2 linked regions of the Drosophila melanogaster genome follow. The protein of the gene in region 1 interacts with the protein of each later gene in a pairwise test. Each region holds a gene or a part of one and is shown on either strand. Other genes may lie near its edges.

What was found.
Region 2: the proteins of Ten-m (region 1) and cher interact in binary tests that used the Drosophila melanogaster proteins (3 or more experiments, as listed by UniProt).

Annotation. Positions count from the first base shown.
Region 1 is NT_037436.4:22,404,849-22,409,790, forward strand, and holds the start of Ten-m (tenascin major), read right to left. Parts: upstream 3,016-4,942; 5' UTR 2,345-3,015; coding exon 2,044-2,344; intron 1-2,043. UniProt on the Drosophila melanogaster protein: Involved in neural development, regulating the establishment of proper connectivity within the nervous system. Acts as a homophilic and heterophilic synaptic cell adhesion molecule that drives synapse assembly.
Region 2 is NT_033777.3:17,122,341-17,126,898, forward strand, and holds the start of cher (cheerio), read right to left. Parts: upstream 3,050-4,558; 5' UTR 2,899-3,049; coding exon 2,873-2,898; intron 2,447-2,872; exon of another isoform or gene 2,419-2,446; coding exon of another isoform or gene 2,149-2,418; exon of another isoform or gene 2,137-2,148; intron 343-2,136; exon of another isoform or gene 73-342; coding exon of another isoform or gene 58-72; intron 1-57. Other genes in the region: CG45079 (uncharacterized protein), read left to right, coding at 2,149-2,418; CG17477 (uncharacterized protein), read right to left, coding at 3,787-4,558. UniProt on the Drosophila melanogaster protein: Involved in the germline ring canal formation. May tether actin microfilament within the ovarian ring canal to the cell membrane. Contributes to actin microfilaments organization.

The sequences.
Region 1 (4,942 bases):
GATTGGATTTGGAGGCCATCTGGAGTTGGACTCGAACCTGGCTGCGGTTGGCTTTTAATAATGCAAAGTGGCCGATTTTTTCGACCTAATTTGGCTAATTGGCAGGCCGACAAATAAAGCATTGAGACATTGAAATTTCGGTGCTTCAGCTTCGAGCGGATTTTCACACATCAACACAGCTTCAAAGTGGGGGAGGCAAAGAATTTTCCGCTGCTTCTCCGTCTTTCCTGTTTTGGCTTTTTGGCAATTTTATGACAGGCACTGGGGAGCAGGAAGGCGGGAAAAGCTGCTGCCTGGTGAAGTGTTGAAAATTTACGAGCTCCGCCCCGCCCCAATCGCACCCCCCTGGCCCACTTTATTCAATTTCATTTCTTGCGCCAAAGCTGAAAAGAAATTCTGCAAAAGTCTTCGGGTCTCAGGAATTTATTGTTTGCCAGTTACGAAATTTATTTGTTGCTGTAAATTTACAATTCTTTCGCCGCTGCCAGGTAGCCCAACCCAAACACCCACACGTTCGTGTGCTCCAGGTTCGATTTCCATTTGATTTTTATTTCGTTTCAAAGCTCCAATTGTTTGGCAATTGTTTTTATAACACCACAAAAACGCTGAAAGGCAGGAGAAGAGCAAGCGCGGCTGCGGTGGGATGGCTTCGATGAGGATGAAGAAGATGAGGAGCGGAAAATGGGCACCGGAGCTCAAAAGGGAAATGCCAGAAATAAAGTTATGTAAGTCCGCATTATGTGTAAGTTCAAATGCCAAGAAGCAGAGTCGGAAATAATAAAACTGAAGCATGTCGGAGCATGTATTTGTGTTTAGGTTGCTCGTGGTCGAGGTCCAGGGATCGAAAATATTGGATAGGTCTGGGAGTGGCCATGAAGACGCTACGAGGAGGCTGGCTGAAATCGATAATAGCAGCGAACTAACATAATCTAGAGTTAAATACGTGAACTATTGTCATCAAAACAATAGTTAAAAGTAAAGAATCTAAAATTCTGTTCTCATATTAAGAGGGTATCCAAGTAACTACGATTTTCATTCAAAATCTATATCAACATAACTTAGTGCCCTGATTTCTGTCAGTGTACAATCAGGCAGGCTACTGTAACCCAACTCCTCTCAGAAGTCTCGAGCATTTTCCAGCCGCAGGCATTTTTTCACAGAGCGGGGACATCGTCTGGGATTCCCCCTAATTCCTGTCGGCTGACAGAGAGTATCCTTTTCAACTGCGCTTTGTGCGCTGGCTATTGTGGCTCTCGCTTTATTAATCAGACAAATCGTGAAAAAACGCGCTCAGTCGGAAAAAGGGAAATTATGAAATGCGAAACAAGAGCGGGCTCAATGTCAGGCGAAGTCCAAATCCCACTCCCATTGGGACTGCCGCCTTAATTTGTTTAATTTAGGCAAAATGTTTGGCCGCATTCGCCGATAAGGGGCGTAATTTGTTCAAACTTGTCGCAACTTGCTGGAATTCGCAACCCGCACGATTTTGTCACCGAAAAAAGGAATAATTTCTGTAACTAGCAGATGACACGGTAGCTCACTTGAATTGCGTTTGAGAAACATTGGAATCCTTTTGCACATACATAATTTGCTTTTAACTTTTTGACTAATACTAAAAATACACAAATGCCAAGTAGCAATGAATGGTTTTAGAACCAGTCTATCCTCTCTCAACGTACGTAGCTAATAACCAAATGTTCTCCATTTTCTTAAAATATTGATATCAATTAGCTCATTTGATTTAGGCACGTCTGTCAAAGAATTCGGTGATGTATACGAAAGCGATGGAAAACGGATCTCAGTATGTTTAAGCAGCATGGTACTCTTATCAGAAACGCTTTTATATTTTTCACTGATTTCCAAACATAATTTAAGTTACAAATTCATTTAATCCAATTTATGCATTGTAAAGTATTTCCGCACATCCTAAACTTTTTTAAATCACTTCCAGACGCTCTATTTGGGCCACTAAATTCCGGAGTTGTAGCTTTCGGTTTGATTCCACTGACCACACTGCCCACTGGGGTCGGCATACTCACTCACCTTGTCTTCCGTGTGTCCGCTGCGCTGTGTTGTTGGCCGTGTCCGGCGGACGGTGGGCCAAGTGCTGGTACTCGTAGTCGTAGTGGGACGACTGGGCGGCGGCTTGGGCGGCCTGCAGGTTCTGTTGGTTTTGGTGCTGGAGCGTCTGGCTGCCGTGGACCGGACCGAGGTCCGTCGTCGGCCGCCCGTGGCCGCTCATGGGGAGCGTACGTCCTTGGGCGTGTGGGTGGGCGTGAGCCGGAGTGGGGCCGCCGCCCACGTCGCGGCAGTCTAGAGTCGACTCATACTCGTAGGGATTCATGGCGGTCGCCTCCAGCGGACATTCGTCGTCGTCCGTGTCCGTGCCGCCGTCGTAGATGTTGTCCGTGTGGCGGTACGCGTGATGGGCGTGCTGCTTTGAGAACTTAATCTTGGCGGCTTGGGGGCTTTTGGCCAGACAGCCGGACAGGAGAAGAAGAAGAGGAGGAGGACTCCGCACGGGAGCAGGAAGAAGAGACTTGGTATGCGTTTGGCTACTCGCGATTATTCATGCACTTGCTGATGCGGATGCGGCTGCGGATGGCACTGGACGCACTGCACTCAAAAACATTTCTACTGGGCCATTTCCAGACGGTTAATCTGCGGGCGGGCTGCTGGTCCCAGCTCAATCACAATCTGCCGCCGAGGCCGCAATAATATTTCTTGGGCCTTTTCAGTAGTCGTACACTGAAAACACGGGACACACACGATGGGGAGCACAGGAACGCGACGGGAAAAACGGTGTTTTTGAATTGACGCGGTGTGTTTGTTTGCGCGACGATCGTAAAACTATGTCAGAATTCGTTAGACGCAGGTATCATTCGCTGCCTGATTCCCGACGATTTTCTATATTTTTCGACTGAAGCAACGCGCTGTTTTCGCTACTTTTCGTATATCCACATTTTCCGCGACGACAATTCCGACCGTGCGAGGCGAATTTCAAAAGACGAATGAGCTCAAAACGAACGACGAACCGAGTCTGTGGGAGAGAGAGAGAGAGCTAGAGAGCGCAAGTCGCTGCAAATATGAGAGAAAAACAATATGCTTCATATTCTCTCTTTTTCAGTTAAAATGCGTCGCTCTCTCATTTATTCTGATACTGCGCATGATTTGTGAGAGAGAGAGCGGTCGCGCACCAGCGTTGTCCATTTAGCTAATTTGCTGATAGTCTGGCCTTAGCTGGAAATATAGCTATTTTGCTAGAATAATAGGTGCTACTTATGTAGTTTAGGTTAATTTAATTGCAAAAGAATCACTCCGAATCATATAGATTTCCAGTCTATGACAGCGTTATAGAAAAAGATATGCAAGGAAATATAATAATATACTTTTAATACTCTTGTGCTTCTGTTAAGTTACCATCAATATTTGTTCTCAATGGTATGTTTAGCCTTTTTATAACCAGAAGAGTATGCAGCACTCAAATGAGAGCACTCATCGAATCTCTGGTTTGAAGGTTAAAAAGTGCGTTTCGTTTGGCTAAGGGGAAATGGATGTACAGCGGATTCGAATCTATCGTGCTGCACGCCAGTTTCGTTAAGATTATCTGAGGCGGCCAACAGCGCTGTAATAACAGCTTCACCGGCGGCTAACACCGACACTGTTAATTTTATTACAAAACTGTTAACCGGTTTACATAAAAGTGCGTATACGTATACCATATACCATATACCATAAAATATCAATGTAAATGTGGAGGTATTTAAGTTATTAGGTACAAACTTTAAAAGATAGCTTAGTTTATTCTTTATTATATATATTATATATTATATAATATATATTATTTATTATTATATATATATTATATATTCTCTTTATATATTGCCCTAAAATATCTAGGTTTTCCAAAACCTCCGAAAACTTTTAACTTTCAGCTTGCATTGAATAAATTGCAGGTTACACAAAAATATTAAAAACTACATTTTTAAAAACAATGGAATTTGTATTTCAAGGTATCTGAACCTCCTGTGGCCTGGGAATTACACAAAACAGTTTTTCATTTACTAATTATGCTGTCAGATTCTGTGGAGCATTTTCACGCAGCCAAAAAATATCCTCAGACTTCATTAGCGCTAGAAAAGTTAGTCAGTGGCGGCGAGGGGAGGCGAAAAAGTTTCAAATCGCTGACAAGTGAAGTTGTCATTCAGCACCCAAGCCAGAACCGAGCGGACCTGGCCAAAAAGTGTCCGAAACAAACAATGGTGGCCAGCGTGGGGTGGGTAGGTGATGAGGGGGCCATGGCCGAGAAAAGAAGCAGAAAATTGCGTTATAAGCAAAGTAAAGGACATTTCGCTAATGGCTTAACTTTTGAACGCAGGTCTCATCCTGCCGCCTCCACCGACCGCCCCCTAGCCCGTCGTGCAGGCAATTCTCTGCCATGTAGCGGAAGTTGTTGCTGAAGCTTTTTTGACAGCTTTCCCAGCACGAGAAGGATACGGCGGGGAAGAAGAAGAGATGCCGGAGAAATTGTCATTTCTTTTCCGAGTCTCGCAATGTGGCAACGCCGCGTGACGCAAATTTTTTTGTAGTCTGAAAGTATTTGCATAGGATATGGAGTCTTGCTTTCCCGATTTTCTTTGCTGTCGATGAAAAATCAATTTCCTGTTGTATGCAAAAATGTTTGAGCATCATTCAAGAAAGGGAGAGAAGCGTTGCTCGCCTGCACTTGACACATTGAATATTATCAGGAGGATGTGGATTCCGAGGGGGAATGTGACTTCTGATTTGGCTAGTTGTCGTAGGTTTCGATCTGAGTCTTCGTACAGGAACAAACATTCTTGGCTTGTTGTGCATATATTTAATTAAGGGGCAATGGATTAAACCTTTGCAGTTTTTTGAAGTTGAACCATTTGGGTTAACATTCAAAAATAACTCAAAAATG
Region 2 (4,558 bases), on another chromosome or scaffold:
TTGCCGATCGGATAAGGGCCACCCTAGGCCCACAAAACAACAAAAAAAAAAACTCACTTTTCTGGACGCCATATCGATGGTTTTTCTGTTGGTTGATAGGGATCGCTGTCGAATGATCTCGAGTTGTAATACTTTAGTGGGGGTGCTTAATACTGAACACTTGATGGCCCGCTAATTACACAATTCCTGGCGTGGCGAGCACGTTTCTCTCTAAAAAAACACAACACAAACACGACTGGCAAATCCTTCGTTTTTTTTCGTAAACAAATTTCAGAATTTCTTTCTTTTGGTTTTGAAAATGTGTGCACGAAATGCGCGCGTTGCTTTCGGGTTCTTTGCTACACGTACTCGTACTGGCCGCGACAATTTCTCAACTCGACTGAGTTGTGTGCGCCTCCTTGCTCAAAGTTTTTATGCAGCCAAATGCTCGCCGCTTATTGCTCAATTTCTTTATTATTATTTTCTCAGATAAATCATACAGACGGGGATCATCTTAAGTAACTCCCTAAGCAAATATTAGGTAACGCTTATAGGTTATAATTCCAAAAGATACTTTCTACACACTCCTACTGGTTGACAGATAACAAAGGTTTGCCTTCGATTTTTTCTATTATTATTTCAAGTTGGAAATGAAATTAGAATACAATATTATTATGTATATCATAGTTATAGTATAAAATATAAAATTGTGGTTTGTATTTTTATTTTTTTCAGATCATATTAAATAAATGAATACATTTCTCACAAGTTTCTAAAAGTGCATCCTCGTCTGTCAAAGGTCTTCAATACATAATTTGTTCAATATTTATCTCGCTTCATGTTTTGTGTTGTGTTTTTGGTATTGCGTGTGACGTTGACTCGGCGTCGCAGTCGCAGTCGCAGTCGACGTCGACTGCACTCTTGACTCTGTTTGGCAGGTTTTTGGCGACGCTACCACATGAGACCCCCCAGTCCCCACCCACCGCTTGCCCCGCAATCCCCCCCCACCCCCTGCAACTCATCACAAATGTGATTTTCGACGCGCAGCTGATTTTGTTGTTATTCTTTTCATAGAACTGGTTGCCGTCTTTTGTGTTTTATGTTTTTGCTTCAATCTTCTCTGCTGCTGGTCACAATTGAAAGTGCCTCCTGCAAAAATGATTGGCTTTTGGCCATCTCTGGCGGTCGCCCCAAGTACATTCCGCATTTCCCCGTCATTTGACTCACGAGGCGCTGATAAAGAATCCCAAATCGGGGGATCGTAGAACCCGTAGAACTCTTAAATGAAAAGCATATGTACAGTTGTATGTTGTTTATTCTTGTGAGATGACTAACTAGCTCCGGCCAAATCAGCTGTCATAAATTCCTCGATTTTATTTGGCTTGAATGTTTATGCTCGTTTGAAGATAAAACGCAGCAAGAGCACGCTAAATATATCAAACAATTTTATTCTGATTATCTGATTTCAGTGCTATCATGGCGCTTAAAAGGGGTTTTAGGAAGTCTTAAGTGATCTACCAAAATCAATCCGTAAAATAAAATTAAGAAAACTAAACTATAGTCACCATTTTTATGAACTTCAAAAAACCAGTAAGAATTTTAAGATCTAATTATGCTTAGATATGAAACACCATTCATAACAACTCTGTACTAACATTTCTCAAAACCTATTTAATTTCCGTGTGAACGCGCAGCGCGTGTACTTTTAAACAAATTTTATTTTTATTGACCATCATTATTCATGGCGTTTGAATTAATTCAACAGCTGCTTGGGCTGTTAAAATCTCTTGTTGCGCATACGCCCCGTTGCCGTCAAGTAATTTCACGTGCCAACGCTTTATTTAGCTTTTCCCGATTCGGCACTGTTACTTGGATATTTAGAAAATAATTGGAATATAATAAACAATGGCACAGTGGGCTTTCAAATGAATCATACAAAGTCTTCTGAAAATTTCAAAATTTTTAGATACAACAGCTGGTGATTAATTTGGCAATAGAATATGAAAAATAAATATTAGTTAAATATTAGGCTTTTTATTGAATATTTGGCATTTGCCCAACTGTTTTAAGGTATTATTTCTTTAAACAATTGAAAATAAATAAGATAAGAAGTATATAATTGATAAAATTGTATCTATCGTTTATTAGTTTGTATTAATGCCGGCTAAAATGAGGTTCTTAACGATCTTTGCGTTGTTTTGCGTCTTGGCAGGCTGCTATTGCTCTGACTCAACTACGTCATCCGGATATTATTGGGACCCATACTCATCATCTTGGGTTCCGTACGGAGATTCTACCACATCGTATCCCTACTGGGAGGATACTACAACATCTGCACCTGTTGCTTCGTCAACTTCCAGGTCTCCATGTGATGGAAAAACCCAAGGACCCTGCACAAATCTGCTAAAGGGTGCACAAAAGGTTTATGTCTTCTATTAAAAAATCACTTAAACGTGTACGCCTAGTTAAATAAATCATTTGGGAAATACATATGCCGGGTCCCCTTAGGTACTATACCCCGCAGATACCCCAGGTGCGGCAGAGCATGCGATTGAGGCTAAATAAAGATCAGAGGCTCTATTAACATCTGGTGCCCGACAGATAAATGCACTTTACGCTCTCACAACTGAACATTTAATGGCTCTTTCTTTGGGATCCAGCAAAGAGGCCTTTCATCGTCTGAATATATCACGAAATGGCAACGCCTTGTACGCAATATTTCAAACTGAAATTCACATAACACAAAATATTCTATTTTATTTTTGGTAATATATTTATTCGAACGGTTTTTTTTTGGCCGTATACTTTTAGCGCAATATTCATCGCTCTTGGTAAGAATGTAAAATACATTGCAAAGTCGTTTTGCCTTAATTGGGAAAATTATTTCACATACTTTGGCATTTTCACTGGATTTAACATAATTTTTTCCTCGACTTTGCACAAGTTGCGAAATTTCACTTGTTATATATTGCTGTATATATAAAAATATGAGCAAGACACGCGTCTACATATAGCTCACGGATTGCGTATACGCCGCGTATTCCAAGAAAATTCGAGGCCCGCACCGCACACGTCCAAGTCAATACAGCAACTGAAAATCTTTTTCAAAATGCCAAGATACAGCCCACAACTGAGAGTTTTCCCGGTTGTTTTTCCCCCATCTGAACAGCGAGTGCCGATAGAAATATTTTCAGAATTTCCATGCGCCGTGAGCGATTTGTGTCGAAATTTTTCTCACAACTCAAATCATGACTAAGACCACGTCTGTCTGGGTCTACCTGCTACCAATTAGATCAGGACGACACGTGTGACCAGTGCGACACTTCTCTTCTTCCGAAATAAATCAGAAAACGGCGGGTGGCTGAATCACTAAGACATTCCGGCTGTCCGACTGAACGGACTCCTGGCTGTGGGCCAAGAATATCACTTGCCTCCAGAAACATTAAAATAATTCACCACTCCCGCCAAAAAACAAGTGAACTACAGCAACCCAAGTAATTAAAAAAATAGAGGATGCCCCGTACAGAATGATCCCTTACGAGTGACCCGTAGAGGATACATCCTGCCCTTCGTTTTCAGTTCGACTTGCACGCGATTTGTTAGCGGCTTCTTGGCGGCTTGGTGGCGATTTGTGTGCGGCTTTGGTGCGGGTTTTATGCGGTTTTGGTGCATGTTTGGTGATATTTGATACAAGGCTGGCAGTTTGGGAATTATCTTATGTTTAAATGGCTTAATAAATTAATAAATTATTTACAGCATTAAGGAATTACATTATGAATTGAGGTTCTTTAATGAGTTCAAATGTTTTTATCCATCTATTGTCTGCTGGTTGACCTGTGCACATTTGCCATTGCCACTCATCGTTTGTCGCATCCAGTCGCGGTAGTACATTATATTCATGAATATATCAGGCACACCCTGGGCGCAGGGTACAAAGAAGTTGAGTATGCCCACCAGGGTGCCCTGGTGAACTAGAGGACCTCCAGAATCTCCGTGGCAGGCTCCAATATTTGCCTGACGATAAGCACAAATATGGCAAGGTCCCAGTTCCAGATCCTCGTAGGCAGACATCATGGACTCGCAAGCCGGGGAGTTGAGGTGTTGCTGCTGGACACGCTGCAACTGCGATGGCAACGACCCCGCCGCTGACTGAGATCCCCATCCGGTGAAAACCAGCTCCGAAGCTCCTCTTGGAAAAGGGGATGTGGGTAGTTCAACCGCCTGAGTTAGTGCGTTAAAGGTAATGCTCTCGTTCAGGTGGAGCAGGCCAATATCATTCTGGTACTTGGGACTGTCATAGTTGCAGTGCAGGTAGATGGCGTCTGGGTAATAAACAGCTCCTGGTTCCGCATAGCGAATTGTACCAGTGGCCACTTGAAGTCTGCTAGTCGGGTATCCTTTGACACAGTGACCAGCCGTAATTATCCATCGGTCCGATATGATGGCACCACCGCATAGGTGACTACCCAAAAGAGTTTGGAGCGACACCTGGTAGGGGGCATCTCCTTCAGCTGCATTCTGGCCACCCACAATGAAGTGCTCCAATGCCAATAAGTCACAGTAGAGTGAACTGAACACG